Arabidopsis thaliana: one gene and its partners. The protein of the gene in region 2 interacts with the protein of the main gene of each other region in a pairwise test. Each region holds a gene or a part of one and is shown on either strand. Other genes may lie near its edges.

Evidence for each region. The genes of interacting proteins can lie anywhere in the genome.
Region 1: the proteins of AT4G13266 (region 2) and MAPR3 interact in a protein complementation assay, tested with the Arabidopsis thaliana proteins (one large-scale study listed by BioGRID).
Region 3: the proteins of AT4G13266 (region 2) and AT5G59650 interact in a protein complementation assay, tested with the Arabidopsis thaliana proteins (one large-scale study listed by BioGRID).

The regions. Positions count from the first base shown.
Region 1 is NC_003074.8:18,127,079-18,133,084, forward strand, and holds MAPR3 (membrane-associated progesterone binding protein 3), read left to right. Parts: upstream 1-2,373; 5' UTR 2,374-2,590; coding exon 2,591-2,898; intron 2,899-3,881; coding exon 3,882-4,275; 3' UTR 4,276-4,514; downstream 4,515-6,006. Other genes in the region: AT3G48880 (RNI-like superfamily protein), read left to right, coding at 795-1,159, 1,366-1,930; AT3G48900 (single-stranded DNA endonuclease family protein), read left to right, coding at 4,776-4,843, 4,933-5,090, 5,304-5,365, 5,467-5,594, 5,735-5,786, 5,863-5,935.
Region 2 is NC_003075.7:7,704,552-7,709,147, forward strand, and holds AT4G13266 (ankyrin repeat protein), read right to left. Parts: upstream 2,343-4,596; 5' UTR 2,260-2,342; coding exon 1,880-2,259; intron 1,744-1,879; coding exon 1,458-1,743; 3' UTR 1,210-1,457; downstream 1-1,209. Other genes in the region: AT4G13261 (ECA1 gametogenesis family protein (DUF784)), read left to right, coding at 4,047-4,496.
Region 3 is NC_003076.8:24,029,009-24,036,592, reverse strand, and holds AT5G59650 (Leucine-rich repeat protein kinase family protein), read right to left. Parts: upstream 5,248-7,584; coding exon 5,166-5,247; intron 5,056-5,165; coding exon 4,518-5,055; intron 4,410-4,517; coding exon 3,954-4,409; coding exon of another isoform or gene 3,931-3,953; intron 3,872-3,930; coding exon 3,677-3,871; intron 3,591-3,676; coding exon 3,519-3,590; intron 3,435-3,518; coding exon 3,363-3,434; intron 3,277-3,362; coding exon 3,208-3,276; intron 3,113-3,207; coding exon 2,946-3,112; intron 2,855-2,945; coding exon 2,613-2,854; intron 2,542-2,612; coding exon 2,415-2,541; intron 2,336-2,414; coding exon 2,270-2,335; intron 2,187-2,269; coding exon 1,997-2,186; intron 1,896-1,996; coding exon 1,493-1,895; downstream 1-1,492. Other genes in the region: AT5G59660 (Leucine-rich repeat protein kinase family protein), read right to left, coding at 156-279, 342-445, 531-681, 789-906. UniProt on the Arabidopsis thaliana protein: Required for accurate photosynthesis.

The DNA.
Region 1 (6,006 bases), on a different chromosome or scaffold from region 2:
TCTGTCTCTTCGGTTTTTTAGTTCGACTGATTTGGGAATGTGAAGAGATCAGATTGATTTGTTGACAGAGTCTTGGGGGTTTTCAATCTTATTCCTCTAGATTTTCGAAATTCGATTCCTTTACATCAGATTTCGCTTAATTCTCTGTCCTAGTGAGTTTTACGATCTTTAGTCTTCTGGTTTGTCAAATTCTATGTCTTTTCATGTTCTTCTGAGTTTTAATGGTTGATCTTCAATTACTTGGCCACAATCTCTAGAGTTTGAGACTCTTGACTTGTCTTGCATATATTCCTCTGTAGATTGGTTTTATGTTTGGTTTCAATTCCTTGTTGAACTATTCTGATACGGAAGTTTTCCTTTCTAAGGTTTGGTGTTTCCTTTTTCTGATAAATAGTGATGAAGATCGATTATGATGATCATGTAAGAATATAATCTAGCTTTGGTGTTTGTATTGGTTTACCTGAGGGAAGAAAAGTCTTTCTCTTTGGGACTTTAAACTTTGATTACTTAACTCCAACATTATCATAGTTGGGTTCTGTAGTTCATTTCACTTATAGCAGTAATAACTCATTGATTGATGCAATCAATCAATCCTGTGATGGAAATGGAATCATGGAAATTGAGGGATTCAGGGAGGATTGATTGATTAGAATTTCATATTTATGAGAGAATAAGAGAACTGATGTGTGTTTCTTTTCCTACTTCTTAAAGTTGTGCTCTTTCCTATTTCTATAAGCTCTTGTGGATAACAACAGTTGATTAACGTTCTTATGCTTGTTTAGGGTACAACAAGAATGGAAGAAGAGTATGAGAGTCGTCGATTGAGGAGATGGGAAGAGTTGGACACTGACATCTTAGTAAGAATTTTCCAGAAGTTTAGCGTCTTTGAGTTGACTTCGGGATTAGCTCATGTTTGTAGAGGATGGAGAGCTGCTTGTTGCGATCCGATTCTTTGGAAGACGGTGGATTTGTCAAACATGAGATCTAGTTTCATCAAGATCCCATTAGAGCCTTATGTCTATGTGGAACGCCGATCTGATGAGGCCCTAACCCGCATCCTGAAACTCTCCATGAACCTTAGCGGAGGAAGCACGAGGACCTTGATTTTTCATTTCAACTTGTTCTTGAGTGATGATCAGCTTACTTACACCGCAGAAAGGTATGTCCTTTTCGTTCTTCCACTTATTTGTCTTCCAAATTGTTTCATCATGGCCGTAAACTATGGTTTTTTAGTCAAAAGTTGGTTCAGTTTTTGGTTTGGTTAAGTTCATGTACCCACTTTCAGTCAAAATTGCTGAATTACAATTAAGCTGAATCTCGCAAATGCTAAAAGTTGAAAAATTTGTTGTACTGAATATTTTGCAGGTGTCCAGGGTTGAGACGGGTCGTCCTACCGGCTTGGAACAGAATAAAGAAGACTGGTATATGCAAAGCGATAAGAATCTGGAAAGATCTAGAGTCACTAACAATGCCAAGCATCGCAAACCCGCCTTATCTCTTAACAGAAATTGCCAAGAACTGCAAGAATTTTAAAGAGCTGAAGATCATGGGTCCATTCGAGGTCTTCTTTGCAAACACGCTCATCACTTGCCTCCCAAACATCAAAACACTCAGCATCAGATGCTCGGCGATAAAGCGGGAAGCACTGATGAAAATCCTTGACGGATTACCAAGCCTTGAAGTGCTCAACATATCACACTCTCACCTAGTGGAGTACAGCGGTTGGCAGCCTCAGCAGAAGGTGATTGTTAGAGAGCTCGATAAGACGATAATGGAGAAAACAGCAAGGCTAAAGAAATTCTTGACTTGCATGGATCACAAGACGTGTGTGATGTGTCAGAGGACTGAAAACGATGAAGGGATTGTGAGATGGTACAAGTATGAGGAAGGAGACTGGAAGGTTGATGAAGTGAGTTCTCTTCATCTTTGATGTTTCTGCTGTGATCATTCTCTGTGAAGGACTTAACTTGTTATTGTTCTCATCTTTGACTGTTGAATTGTTTATTTCTTTGTGTTGTTTGTTTTGATTTGAATCGTATTATGTGTATATATCTGTAGGCTATGCCAATGAATGTCTGTAGTGATCAACTTTTGATCACCACCAACCTTGCACACCAAATAGGAAAATAAAACAATATTGTTACAATTATTTGTCTTGATATTAGCATTATTAGTCACATTTGTTTTGCAAATCATCTACCTTTTTTTTTTGGTCTATATCTTATTCTTCTTAGTTCTTACCTACCAGTCTTCTCCGGCGGCATTAACGACACCGTTTTATCGAGCTCAGCCACCACTAGTTAGGTAACGATATATATTCTTAAAAACGTTTAGAAAATTTCTATGTATGTTTCACACGAACAAAAAGAAAATATTTTTCAGACATCAACGGTCATTATGGACGACGACTGTTAAACAAAATCGTTTAAAATTCTTGTTGCGTAATTTGACCATTTTATTTTATTTTATACCAAAAATTGAAGATATTATATATATGTTTTAATTCGATCGCAAATAAATCTGAAAATTAAAACACAAAACGTTACTCTTCTCTCTCATTCTCTTTCGCTTCTCGATAGCTTCTCAAATCATGGTTCAGCAAATATGGGAGACGTTGAAGGAAACAATCACAGCTTACACTGGACTTTCTCCAGCTGCGTTTTTCACCGTACTTGCTCTCGCTTTCGCCGTTTACCAAGTCGTCTCCGGTTTCTTCGTTTCTCCTGAAGTTCACCGACCTCGTTCTTTGGAGGTTCAGCCTCAATCGGAGCCTCTTCCACCGCCGGTTCAGCTCGGAGAAATCACTGAGGAGGAGCTTAAGCTTTATGATGGCTCCGATTCTAAAAAGCCCCTTCTTATGGCGATCAAGGGCCAGATCTATGATGTTTCTCAGAGCAGGTATTTCTTGTGAAATCTTTACTTGTTCATTAAATTATGATTGAATCCAAATGATCACTAGTTAAATTACCAGTAATAAACGATTCAACCCAATAGTTTCGAGATTTGGGGTTTAGGTTAGTTAATCATGGTTGACTGTTTGATTTATAATCCGAAGTTTCCAATTACTATCTATCTTATGATTCTAGTATATCTACTGATGCTCGAACTCTAGTTTAAGTGATTCTTTATTGTAAAACTGAACACTTTTAGTAAATCTTTTTGATGAATATTCTCTCCTTTTTGTTCATAATCTTATGATGCTCTTTTTATTGCTTTTTGCATCTTAGTGTTTGTTTTTTCACTTCTTTTCTTGGAACAATACCATTAGAAGCACTGATACAATTGTATTGTATTCAAGTTATCGGAAAGATCTCTACTTTTTCTTATACTAGAAAAACCTGTATTTAGATTACATCTTGGATTAGTAGAGATTGATAACGTACAAACTCGTCAAAGGTTTGGCTTCTAATATTGCTATTGTGGCGAAAGAGATCGTTCACTGATTAATTATCCACATTTGCTTGCTATTTGTGTTCCATGACGTTTGTAAATTAAGTTTTGGCGAACATTGTTGGTATGTAACCATGCTGCAGTTGTCTAGATCCCTGACTTGTCAACTAGACAGTTCTTTTACATTCCAGTTACCGAAAACTTCGTTGTGGTAATTAGGTTTTGTGCTAGATGAAATAATCACTTCAGTGATCATACCGTTTTGCTTGTTCATAGTGGCGACAGACACAGACACACTCATCAACGCATATACATGTCGATGTATATGTATGCATAACTTTTAGTTTTTTTCTTGTACATAGTTCATCAGCTGTACTACATATCTAGATGAATCATATTCATATGTGCCAAGCTGTAGTTTTTCATTCTTCAAACTCTACTTAACTCTTACTGGTCGCTAATTTGCATGACCATCTGTTCTTTTTATGCAGGATGTTTTATGGACCAGGTGGGCCATATGCTCTGTTTGCAGGGAAAGATGCAAGCCGAGCTCTGGCAAAGATGTCATTTGAGGACCAAGACTTGACTGGAGACATCTCAGGTCTCGGTGCATTTGAGCTAGAGGCGTTACAAGACTGGGAGTACAAGTTCATGAGCAAGTATGTCAAAGTCGGAACCATTCAAAAGAAGGATGGAGAAGGCAAAGAAAGTTCAGAACCTTCCGAAGCAAAGACTGCCTCTGCGGAAGGTCTTTCTACAAACACTGGAGAAGAAGCTTCAGCAATTACCCATGATGAAACTTCTAGAAGCACAGGCGAGAAAATCGCGGAAACCACGGAGAAGAAAGATGTTGCAACTGATGATGATGATGCTGCAAAGGAGTAAAGTCAATGTAATGAGAGGCACAGTTTCTCTTGAGAAATTAGTGAGATTTTTCAGGGTTTAAGTATGAGTCGTATATAGCTCAATAAAAATGGTGACCTTGTGTGTACTTTTTGGATCTTGTATAATGACATCTAATTCTGGTTATGGAAGCTTCAAAATACATTATTTCTACAGTATTAATCGATAAACAGTTCTATAATTCAGGGTTTGTTCACTTGTTGTTTATGCTTAGTTCATATTTGACATCCTGCTATGTGCCTGGTAATTGAAGATGGTTCAATTCCTAAAATCGAAGCACCAACTTACATTTGATGGTAGGTCTGTTGCCGAACCGAAGTGAAGAATTTGCAATAATTTTGGTTTCGGTTTGGAACCTTCAAACCGACCGGTTTCGAATTATTATTGAACCAAATTTTCAAAATTCAAATATCTTGTCAAATCATTTTCTTCCCTCTTTCTGTCTCTGTCTCTCTCTCTCGCTCGATCTCGAAGGTGAAGCTATGGGAGTGAAGTATCTTTGGGATGTCTTGGAGCCTTGTAAGAAGACTTTCCCACTCGATCATCTTCAGTGAGTTGTTTCTTCGTCTCAATTTCTCTTTAATTTTTCTGGGTGTTTAAAAAGACCAAGTCTTTACGAGATCTTCGTAATCGCTGTAGAAACAAAAGGGTATGCGTGGATCTTTCGTGTTGGATGGTGGAATTGCATAAAGTGAACAAATCTTATTGCGCCACTAAAGAAAAAGTTTATCTTCGAGGATTTTTTCATCGTCTCCGAGCCCTAATTGCCCTAAACTGCTCCATCATTTTAGTCTCAGGTAATTTAATTCTACCCTACTGTTGAAAATTGCCATCAGAAGAGCCAATTAGGGTTTATGTAGTGTTGTATTGTTGTCATTGTGAATTGATTTGAGTAATAGAAGCATGAGTGGTCAAATCAGTTCTTATTTATTGATGCTTTGCTCTAAAGTTTAGTTTTTTCAATGCTATTGAGCATACTTGACTTGTTGGAATGTGGCATGTAATTGTAGATGGTGCAATTCCTGGAATCAAAGTACCAACTTACAAGCGTCGGTTAAAAGCAAGATTCGAGGTACAATGATGTCAAATGTGGCACTTGTGGTTTCATCCTTGCATATGATGGCTAGTTTTTGGATTGTTTTTTTCGATTTCGTGCTATATTGGTTCAGCCAGATCGCTGACGATGGTGTTGAGCCTAGCAAAGAGACTTCACTCAAAAGAAATATGGGGTCTGAGTTCTCGTGCATCATAAAAGAGGCGAAAGTTATTGCATCAACACTAGGGATACTTTGTTTAGACGGGTAGGGCTTCAAGACAGTTAGCTTAGATTGACAATGAGACTTTGGTTTGAGTGTTTAACTTTGCTTATGAGACTTTGGTTTGAATGTTTAACTTTGCTTATGAGAAACTGATTCTGTTCTGTATTTTCCATCAAATGCAGGATTGAGGAGGCTGAGGCGCAATGCGCTCTGCTAAACTCGGAATCCTTATGTGTAAGACGCATTTTTCAGCTTTAATCAGTTTCTTGTTCGTCATGCTGTTAACCCAATATTCAATGATCATCCATAGGACGCCTGTTTTAGCTTTGATTCGGATATCTTCCTTTTTGGTGCAAAGACTGTATACAGAGAAATATGCCTTGGTCAGTGGAAAGAGACTCTTTAGTGTGTTGGTTTCTTTTACCGTCTGATATGGTTAATAGTATTATAAGTC
Region 2 (4,596 bases):
GAAACAACTCAGTATCTTCCTTCATCAAATTATTTTCGTTACCTTTGTATCTTGATGTCAATGACACCATCCTTGTCATGTTTATAAGATTCAATGCAACTTTCTTCTTCACTTCAACACAAGTCAAATTGTATCGTTCTTCAATTACCCCAAAAAAGTGTGAAAGTGTCTTGAATTACATATAATAACGGGTGGTGTATCACGCGGTCTTCGAAATCTTGTAGCTAAACACAATATTACATACTCTGTTCTCCAGCCTGTAACCCTCTAATAGCATTTGTTAAGTGATATATTTACACAATTTATAGTTTTATTTCGTTTGTTTTATAGGTTTAATTAAGTCTTTTTAGGAATATGGACCTGTAAAGCAAAAGTGAGCATAACAAAGAGGAATTGGGTCAAAAAGCATTAGAAAAAGAGAGGATCCATCAAGAGGCCCGTTTGCTAGAGTTTAGTACCTAGTGAAAAAATGCTTGAGCCACCGATTGGTTAGGCCAATCCACTGATCGGTGAACTTTTGGTTAAATCACTTCTTTCTTTCAATTAGAACTCTGTCCTATTTCCTATATATGCTCATTTTGTAGCCGCATAGATACAATTTGACTTTGTATTTTTATATAATTTTAAGTTGTTATTCCTGTTTTTAATCTATTCCTTATTCTTTTAGTTTTTGCCGCGTAATAATTTATGATAAATGTCATCGGTATTTAGTTTGGTTGTATTTGGCTATTTGCCTATGTTATTAAGTAGCTAATATTTAACCTAATCGAATTATGCATGATAGGTTTAAGTGTCATACATTGAGTAAGTGTCTGTATTTACAACACACCCTTTCCTTATGTGTCACGAGAACAAAACTTCCACCTCTTTAGTCCACAACCCGTAATGTGGCTACCTAAATTTCTTTCGATTGTTTTTTTTATAATTATTATTATCATAAAATTTGTTTATATTTACTTTACATAACTTTTAATGGATTATATAATTTATATTTATAATAAATTTATAACGTGGCTCTGTTCGATCAGATAAATTTAAATCAACAAAATAAAATAAAATACTGATAAGAAAGATATTTATAAAACAGCAATAGATGATATTTTAGTTGATTTTATAAATGTACTGACCTAGTATGTCGTATTTTGTCTATCTTCAAATAAAATGATTTATATGATTATATCTATAGTTTTTTCATAGAACTAAGTTATGTTTATAAGGAATTCACATTTATTTAGATGGTTTCTAGTATAAGATATTTTTCAGTAAATGAGGGACACATTTTAAAGTCTTACATTAGGCCCATTGAGAGCTAGTGACGACTCCGTAAACAATAAGATCACACATACAATAGAAATCTTTTTAAAATGATCAACATGGGAGAGCTTTATTCTACTTATCACATTGCTGACAGTATTTCCATTTAACACGTCGGTTCGAGCCATGGGTCCTCCTCTTCGTCAACGGACAGGTGGCAGAGCCAAAGGCAGCAACCGTGGAGTAGACCGTGGTCGACGTCCACAACCACAACATATGAACCTAATAACCCACCATAAAAACCGCACTAATTGGATCAGGATTACTAAAACAGGAAGCAAAACCCAAAATCCCAAATAAATTTGAAGAATCTTCTCGATGAAATCATCCTCGTGTTGAACCAACCCCGCAGCAAAGAAGAAGGCTGCCGATATACATAGAACCGCCACCACCATAAACATGACCATGATCGTCATTATTAACCGGTTCCTACAGATAGTCAGATAGATATAATATTAGTTCACTAATTAGTAAACAGGTCTCACTATTTATTTCGACTATTTGCAAGGAAATGTTTAAGAAGAAAACACATTATATAATTATGGTTTATGAATGGATCTAGTACCTGAATCGGAAGCCAATGATGACGAGGAAAATGATACCCATTGAGGCGGAAAACGATACCAAATTGCTAATGACCATGCCAAGATAGAAGATACGCTTTGAAGGATTGTGCTCTAGTATCGAAGTCCCAAGCTTCCCCTCACAAGTTCTGGTTTGAAAAGTAGTTTGGCCTTTGGAGGAACAATCTTCACTCTGCCAAACACCGCCTGGAGGGTTCACCATTACCCCAAAGCTCATTGCAGCTATGACTGTTGCAGCAACGACCAGGTTTCCCCTAGTTTTTTCAAGCCAGTCGCCTTGGTGGTCAAGGTACCGTAGAAACCATGCAGATGAATCTTGGAATGGATGTTCTTCTCGAGTCAGTCGAGTGTTCACCTCCATGATGATGATCGGAAGAAATGATGGATAGATAGCTTTCCTTTTTTCAAATTGTAGTTTTTGGTTTAGATTATATATGATTTATACATCTCATGTTATTGTTTGGTTTTTGTAATTTTTTAGTTTTGGTTTTATTTCTTGCGTTCGTTACTAATGGGAGTTTAAATTTTCTTCCGATCAATAAATACGACATCTCATGTTATTGTTTCGGAATATCAATAAATACGACATCTCAATTTTCTTTCTCTGGGTATTAGTGAATATGTATAGATTTGTCTTTTTGATCATGTCTTTCTTTGGAGAATTTAGTAAAGATGTATAGAGTTAACGGGTTTCAAACTAGGCTTGGTTCATTAAAAAAAAATTAGGAAAGGTTTTTAATAAGAATTAGGCAAGAACAAAAAAAAAGGAGAAAACGAGAAAATGAAAAAGAGAGACATGACTGACTCTTTTGAACTTGCATGTGCTTAACTTGAAGGAACCTTCAAATGGTACCCAATACAATCTTATTTTATCACAATATTGTAGAAGAAACTTCCTGAATAAATCCCAAACCTAATTTGTTTCTATCTACACAATTATCTAATTATATTTGCTACCAAATAGAGAAACATGCGCAGTGAAAATGAACTTTACCGAGACGTAATGCAAGGGGATAATGATTTTTGAAATAGATTTCTAGGGTAAAATTTTCAATTCCAACAAAATATGCGGTGCATTTTTATAAGTATCTCGATTTTATGCAAAATATAAAAAATAAGTCTTTTTTATACGGTGTCAATAAAATATAATAGATCTGTATCTATAATGCAAAATAAGTAGATAGTTTGTTAAACAAAAGCGAAATAACTATTGGTAAAAGTAAAAAGCAAACGACGACGATTTGATTTCCTTTTGGTAATAGTTACTAAACTAGGTTAATTTTGTTTATGGGTCTTTTATTTCAAACGCCATCTCAATGATGACACGTTTTTTTGTCTTAGTTTTTTTGTTCAAATTCTACAACAAAAACATATAACTATGGCCTTTTGATTTTTGGATTTTTAGAGCATCACCATCGGTTAACTACCGATAAATGTGTTTTTAAAATTTAATAATAATATATTTATTTAGTTTAATTATTTAAAATATAGAAATAAATAAAGAGTATTTAAATGTCTCTTGCTAGACCCTCTGTAACAGAAGATCTATACTGTTTTTTTTTAAAATCTTTTTCTAAATTAAAGACTTCTATTTTCTTAACCCCGTATGGTTTTAAAACCAGTAAAAGATAAGAATGTGTATAAATATTTGAGGTTATAAGGGTCAATAAACAAATCTGATCTATCCCGTCCTTGAATCTTTACTCTCCCCAAAAATATTCAAATTACAAAAAACACTCGTTGTAATTACCGTCTAAGGATCATATACTTCCCAAGAATATTACTCGCTGTATTTCGGATTGAAAGTCTCCATGCGGTTGTCCTCATTACAATTCTTTCTTTCATTTTTTTGTATAATCGTGTAATTATGTTGTATCTAATGTATCACTTTGATTTGTAAAAACATTAAGAAAAAAAGAGTTTTCACACATTGTAAGTTATGACTTGTAGAGAAGTTTATAAGTCTATAGTCTCTACTGCAAACGTCTTCTAAACAAAACTAGTAAATGAAGAAGTTTATGAAGTCAGTAACATAAACTATTAATAAATAAACAATTTATTAATTAAATATCCTTACTGATTGTCCTATATAACATCTCTTGTTTTTTTTTTATATCAGCAATCTTACATCCAAAACCAAAAGTAAATATGGCAAAGTCTCTTCTCATGGTCATGCTTGTATCCATTGTAATGTTTTACATGGCTTGTCCAATTTTCTCCCAGGAGATACATGAAGATGTAGCCATATCTCCAACTCCATTCGAAGAAGCTAATTCACCCGCAATGGAATATGACATGAAGCTTCCCCATTACTCGCAAAAACAGTATGATTTTCTAGAGGCTTGCGTTGAAAAGCCGAGCTCCATATGCGGAGGTGAGATTTTCCAGAACGTGCTGGATGCAACAACTTTAGTGACAGATAAATGTTGTCGTGATATATTGAAGATTGGCAAAGATTGTCATCTTGGATTGATTAAAATCTTCTTCTCATCGTATGAATATAAAAATATTGCATCTATTCCAAGAAACAAACAGACATGGAACGATTGTCTTCGTAGAGTTGGAAGCAAGATTGGTGTTCCGGTCTCTTCTGAATAGTAAACTAGTATTCCATCGTTGTGATGTAACTGTGCGTTTATATAATTTGAAATGTTACCCTTATAAAACAGCTGTCATATTATTTTTAATAATAAGCTAA
Region 3 (7,584 bases), on a different chromosome or scaffold from region 2:
GGAAACAATGTTGTTTTAGTAGTAAAACAAAAAAAAATGATCATATTGATTGCCTTAAAACCTTATGTATGACCTTTTCTAAGTGTCAATGAAAACAACCCTTGTATTGAAACAGAGCAGAAAGAACAAACAATGATCAGTTGAAGTTAACTTACCGTAGATCAGATCCTGACTTGCTAAGATATGTTCGTGATAAAAGATTCAAGGAACCAGACTTAGTGATATAAGAACCATTTCCCATAATTCCAAAGCCGATATTAGCGGTATAGTTTCCCCAGTCTTAACAAGACAAATCTGCAAAGAGTTTGATGTTGGGATGTGTAAGATCTCTTCCGCTGTACCATTAACTTCTGTTTGCAAATCCACCGTGGCCCATAGATTAGGTCCAAGATACAGATCAAACTTTGGCTTAAGGTCAAAACCATCATAATTTCCATATACAAACCTAGCCACAATCAAATGTGTCCTGCCCTTCTCAACGTTTAGATTGTAGCAGTTCCTTATTCCATCTGGAAAATATCTCAGCGTACGGCTTAGCGTATCCCTGAGGATTTTCTCGGATTCGACCGTTTTTTCCACTACGTATGAACTTTTCATCCGAAGAGAACCGCAGTCCAGTGAAACTCTCTTCATAAGGAGACAGTTCATTCGCAGGGAGTCCGCAATCCAAACTGATGAATCCTGTTGGCAGACATTTATAAAGATTATTCTTTAAAACAATGCACTTCTGAGAACCAAAAAGTTTGTAAAAGAATGTGTTTAAAAGGGAAAAAAAAGGTTTCTGATACCTTGTTGGTCTTGAGCTCGAACAATATGAATGATGGAGACTAGCAGGAACAAAAGGCCAAGAGAATTCTTCATATAATCATCTTCTCTAACCTTCCAAGGAAAAATCAAGAAAACCATTTGGCTAGGAAGAAAATGTAAAAGCCGAAAGAAAGACTTTGCCAAGCCAAAAGAAATGAGTAAATGCATTTTCTATTCAACAAAATGAATAAGAAAAAGAGGACAGCAAAGTCCCAACATCACTATCATGAACTCAATCATGGAAGATATGGAGCAGACCCAGAAGCACGTTAAGCAATAAACTATCACATCAATTATATTTGACATAGCCTTAAGTGAATGGTGAGCCTAATAATTTCAGAGTACAGATAAATGTATGTTGAGAAATCACAATCCATAATCTGTTTCTTTAATTTTATATACTATTTGACAGTTTTAAATCAATACTCTTCCAACCATTTTACAAATATTTAACCAAAATCATTTGTTTGTTAATGATGGAACCACAAAGAGGTATACTCTTTTACGGTCAATGATTATTAGCATCCAAGCCACACATACAAAGAATGAAAACATCACTAAGCACACATAAAATAATGAAAACATCACCAAGTAACAGGGTATATGATCTTGGCATGTGGATGATCAAAGCAAACATGACCAATAGCCCAACTAATTAGCATGGTTGTGTTACCTGCAGCACATACTACCTTGCCCTCGGAAACAACTCTGTGTCAAAGCTCATGCTCACTTTAAGAGAATTCTGAGAGTCCATATTCATATTTTCCCTCAAGTTTTCAGAAACAAGACATTCTTTCAGTTCATTAGCAACTTGGGACATGTTTGGTCGGTTCACAGAAGAAGGATTCGCACACGACATTGCCAGTTCAAGAACTCTCCATACAGAACGAGATTCGTAATCCCCGTTCAGGTTTGGATCCATGATCTTAGTAATATCTCCTCGGGTAAGCTCAAATCCAACCCATTGTGATATGTGAGACTTTGAACGGGACTGGTCAATCACAGGTTGGTTTGTGATAATCTCCAATAACACAATTCCGAAGCTGTACACATCGCTCTTCTCACCCAGTCGAGTTGTCTGGTAATATCTGCACGGCAAAAGTACATGGTTATACTCTCTAACCAATATATAAAGTGCAAAATGACAACTCACTTTCAGCACATTGTAATGGTAACTAACGACACTTACTCAGGATCAAGGTATCCAGGAGTACCAGCAACCACAGTTGAAATATGTGTTTCACCTCCAATAGGGAAAGATCTCGAAAGGCCGAAATCGGCAAGCTTGGCCTTTAACTGTTCGTCCAGCAATATGTTTGTCGTTTTTATATCTCTATGTACAATTGGTGGTGTGCATCCAGAATGTAGATATTCCAATCCTATTCAAAGGAATGATTATTTGTTAGTCCACCAGAAGGAAAGTCATTTTAAGCTGCCAATATTGGCTAATAAGCTTACGAACCTAGTGCAGCCTCCAGAGCTATTCGTAGACGATTACCCCAGTTGATAAAGGACCCACCGCTTTTTCCTGAATACTTGATTCTTTAGATCCTTGGGAACGTTGAAACATATATACACTTTCGAATCATGAAGAAATTCAAGTTTACCAGATAGATGTTGTCTTAAGTCTCCCTTGGGCAAAAACTCATAGATGAGAGCCAAGTGATCTCTTTCATCGCAATATCCAACAAGACTCACCAAATTTGTATGGTGAACTCGTAGAAGAAGATCAACCTAATCATTCATGGGAAATAAAAGTAAGAGAAAGCGTTAGATGGTCATATTTTTAAGAAGATTATGCATACCTCTGCCTTAAAATGCTTATATCCTTGACTTGATGATTGAGAGAGAACTTTAACAGCCACCTGTTCAGAACCATTTATAGTACCATGACAAACAACACCGAATCCTCCTTCCCCTACAACTCTTTGAAAATTATTCGTCATTTTGATAACCTCTGAATAAGTAAACCTTCTCTTTTTCGTCTCGATTGATGGTTCAGGTGAATTATCATGAACCATTGGCATACTCAGTGGAGGTTGTAGAGCTATAGATAAGAAAGAAAAAAAGTAGGGTATGTAAGAATTCATCGATTTGTTGCAGTTTCTTGATTTGATGAGAGATCTCCTGCAAATTACCTCCCACAGTAGATGACTTTTTCTTACTGAGAACAAAAATAATAACCAACACAGCAACAATTATGGCCACAGAAGCAACTGATGCAACAATCACCACCGGGAATTTCTTCTTCGAGTTTTTTTCTGTGCAGGAACCAGAGAGACAAAGCCTTGGGTTGCCTTGAACTCTGCAAGAAAAAGAGTGTTGTTAAAAACATCAAATCACAAAAGGGCTGTGGAAAATAACTGTGGAATATTAAAAAGTACGTGGGAAGTTTCTTACAGTAATTCTAGTCCCTCTCTTCGAAGACCTTGAGGAAGGGGACCACTAAGATTGTTGCCGCTTAAGTTTCTATTAAAGAAGAGCAATCTTCATGCATACAGACACATGAACCAAAGGAGAACTGAAAGTAAACGAAAATATGCTGAGCAACTTACATGATCACCAACGATTTCATCTGGGCTAGAAATTCCGGCACCACTCCAGTTAGTGTGTTATTTGACAAGTCCCTAAAAGTTTATTTCCAAAATAAAGTAGAGCTCATTAGGTTTTCCTCCATCAACAAAACCAATATTAACTATGGCCATACTTACAGTTTTTCTAAATGTGTAAGGTTTTGAATTGCGGCCGCAATGATTCCAGTTAAACCGCTCGAAGACAAATTTCTGGTGATTCCAAAGCATGATAGTTAACTTATTTTGAAGATAAGTGTCAAAGTGTGCATGTTCATATCTTGGATCTTACGACTTACAAGGATAATACTCTTGGAGGTTTAGAAACATCTGTGTTGTTGCTACAGTTCAAACCATCCCACGCATACTTTTGAGGGACGCAAGGATCTCCTTGCCACCTGATTCTACTCAATTTATAGGCAGCTTCGATATTTTTAACAGCAACCACTGATGTAGAGCTCAAGGATGTGAGAATTAGCAGGTGAAGTTGATTTCTCTAGTTAAAAAAAAAAAACAGACTGTATCTGCATAACAATGAAGATAAGTAACATACCATCATTTTCATTTGTTTCCGACCGTGGAAATTGGATAACTGTGTAGATTTCAAGAGCGTTAAGTAGAGAAGGAAGAGTTGACCTCGAGGTTTTTATTAGCTGGTAAATGCAATTTTCTCCTTTGCATGTCACTGGAGAAAGATTATGGATAGTAGTCACCCCTAACTTTGGAGGGATGAAACCTTCTTCAACAACAGCTCCATCCCATAATATGTCAAATTCTCTGGTATCATTGGTCTGTAAATCTTGTATCTCAGAGAAGTGGCTGTACAAGTAATATTGGTCACCAGGATTGTCTGGTGGCCAACTGATTGTCAATGGCGCGCTGGCATTAGAAGGCGTGGCAGCCGCTGCAAGAGCCTTTTTTGGTGGTTCATAATTGTTATCATTGGTCACTTCGAGAGTGGTGAAAATTTGGGTCCAATCATCCACCATAAAGTAATTATGCCATCTGCGATCATAAATATCATCCGGGTACCTATGTGGAACAAAGGTTGTATTATCCTTGAATAAGTATAGGAATGTTAAAAATAAAGAGTATAGGAATATAGAATCCATCACTGTTAACCAAAAAAAAAACACTTACCGAAGAAAGCCATCTGTCTTGTTGAGATATATCCGAACGAAAAGATTCAAAGAACCATCTGTGAGATAAGAATTATTTCCTAATGGCCGTAATTCCAAGGCTGAGATCAAGGGTGTAGTTGTCCCTGTCTTAACAAGACAAACGTTCAAAGAGTTTGATGTTGGAGTGTGAAGGATCTCCTCCATTGTACCATTCACAAACTTTTGCAAATCTATAGTTGCCCACAGATTAGGTCCTAGATGCAGTTCAAATATCGGGTTAGAGTTACGACCATCGTAATTCCCATAAATGAACCTAGCCCTGATCAAATATTTCCTGTTCTTGTCAACACTCAAACTATAGCAGTTCCTTCTCTCCTCTGGAAAATACCTCAGCCTCGTGTACGGCTTAAGGTAGTCATTCTCCATACTCGCCTGGATTTTACCACTTTCACCAGTCTGGATGAATTCAGCATCAGACGAGAACCGTAGTCCGGTTACTGACTCAGTATAAGAAGACGGTTCAGTCATGGGTAACCCGCAATCCAAACTGATAAACTCTGTTAAGAGAGTGAAAAATCAAAAGCATCTCAGATACAAACATAACTAAGACTCGAATCAGTAAGAAGTAGTAGTGTAATATACATATAAACCATTAAGATTTAGGTACCTTGTTGATCCTGAGCTTGAACACAACCAATAATGGCAAAAGCTCCTAATAGCAGCAGCAAAAGCCAACAAGGACTATCCATAATTGCTTTTAGATATCAAAACCTTACCAATGCCAGAGTTTGAGAGAAACACAGCGTATAAATAGATAAACCCAAGAAACAGTCCAAGCCTCTGGCAACATGGCAAGATGTCCTGAGTCAGTGAAACGAATGAGTAAATGTGTTTTCTATTGCAACTTTACAATTACAAATTTGATTTGTCCCAAGAATGTCAGAATATATGCAACTTGTATTTAGAAAAAATAATATGCAACTTCTGTGTTTTTAAGAGAATATGTCAATAGAGGGTTTTACAGTCACCACTCTTTTAACGCATTAAAAAATGTTCACACAGAGAGAAAGCAAGAGATTTGACTTTCTAGTGGTCAGTGACTTTGATTGAATCATATCGGATAATTTATCACTAATTAATACACATTTTGACGTCTTCATCGACAAGAACAGCTTCTAATCACAAAGCAGAGGATTCACATTTATCAACAATGACTATTATCTAAAGAGAAGTGGGTCAACATGAAGAAACAAATTTCAAGACAAAGACGCCATTATCAGATATCTAAAATCATAAAGTTCAAATTTTTAAAGGATTTTCAGTTACATCATAAACTGAGAAATTACCTTCCGGCCATGAAACTGAGAGAATTTTGATTCCATCTCTTTGAGCCGGCCCAATAACTTTTGTGAGGAGGAGGACGAATGTGAGGAATCTCCGGAGATAAATCGGCCATATACGGCAGCGAAATCTCCCGTCGTGAGAAGGACGGCGATGACAATGAGACCTCTTCATCGGCGATTAGCACTGTTTGAGAACGCGATTGGCGATTTGGAGTGCTGGAGAGTAGCGTTTTAAACGCAACGGTATGTATATTTTTCAACGTTGCTATAATAACAGAAATAATTGTTATGGGCCAAACATGGGTTTTATCAGCCCATTAAACAGAAAATAATGAATTTGGAGTGCTGGAAACACGGTCGCTGGAGAGTAGCTTTTTTAAACGCAACGGTATGTATATTATTCAAGCTTACTTACAGAGTTTCTAGTTGCGTAAGATTTTGAATCGCAGCAGCCATGGTTCCAGTTAGACCACTTGAAGACAAGTTTCTGGTGACATGTCCAAAACCACATTCAAGTGTCACAACTACTAACGGATATTGAAGAGCGTCTGGTCAGAAATCGATATTCTTACGAAAAAATTACGGTCATTATTTTCGTCAGAAAATTGTGACCATTTTCATACAAAATTGTGACGTATTTATTTGGTCATAAAAACGTTACTATTTCGTTATAATATTATGACTTAATTGAATGTAACTAATGTTTGTCACTAATTATGTCAAATTTGTTACAAATTATATAGTCATAAATATAAGTACGGATTTGCGACCAAATATAGTAACTAAATTATACGATAATTGTGACTGAATTTATGTCATGTATAGTTACGAGAATTTTGTAACAACGATGACACAATTTGTCACTGTTTTAGTGACTTTTGCGTTTGGTCATAGATTGTGACATAAGTGTTACCAATTTTAATACAAAAATAAAAACTTGTGAACAAAAAATTAAATAAAAAAACTTCTTCAGTTTTGGAAACAATGTTTTTGATAATACAAAAAAAGCTGTAAAAAGTCCAAATGAAAAAAAAAATTATTCGGATTCGTCACTAGTTAATTCGATATCAGAATTTCCATCTTCAGCATCTGATCCATCTTCGGCTTCTACTACTGGATCATCAAGATCTTCTGGTTGGGCATCTAGATATGATAGTGTCTCGATTTGTAATGAATCAACTTCAACAATAGAATCATCGTTATCATGCTGCATTGCAGTGAAATCCAGATTTTTGTTATCAATACTTTCCCTCTCGGTTGTATCATAATTGCTGCTTCCCATTGTTGATCTTTTCTCGGCTGAGTCATCCGTGGATATGGAACATAACATACCTGATCTGCTTGTGAAGCCAAAACAAAAGGATCATACTCTTCATAATGCCTTTTAGCATTAATATCAATAATCCCTGACTTGTTTCTTCGTATACCTCTCCCAACTTTTGAATCATACCAATCACACTTGAAGACCACGACCTTGAGATCAACATGTCCAGGATAATGAAGCTCATAAATTTCTCTCAATATTCCATAGAAATCAGCTTCTTCATTTGAGCTAGAAGATGTTGTACCTTTGACACAAACTCCATAATTGGCATTCTTTTTGTTCTTTCCATGATCATATGTATGAAATATGTATCCACGACAAAAATACATTGGCCAACAAGTAACTTTAACCATTGGACCATGAACAATACTCAACAACCACTCTGGATATGAATTATCCTTCCAAGTATCCTCCACCTG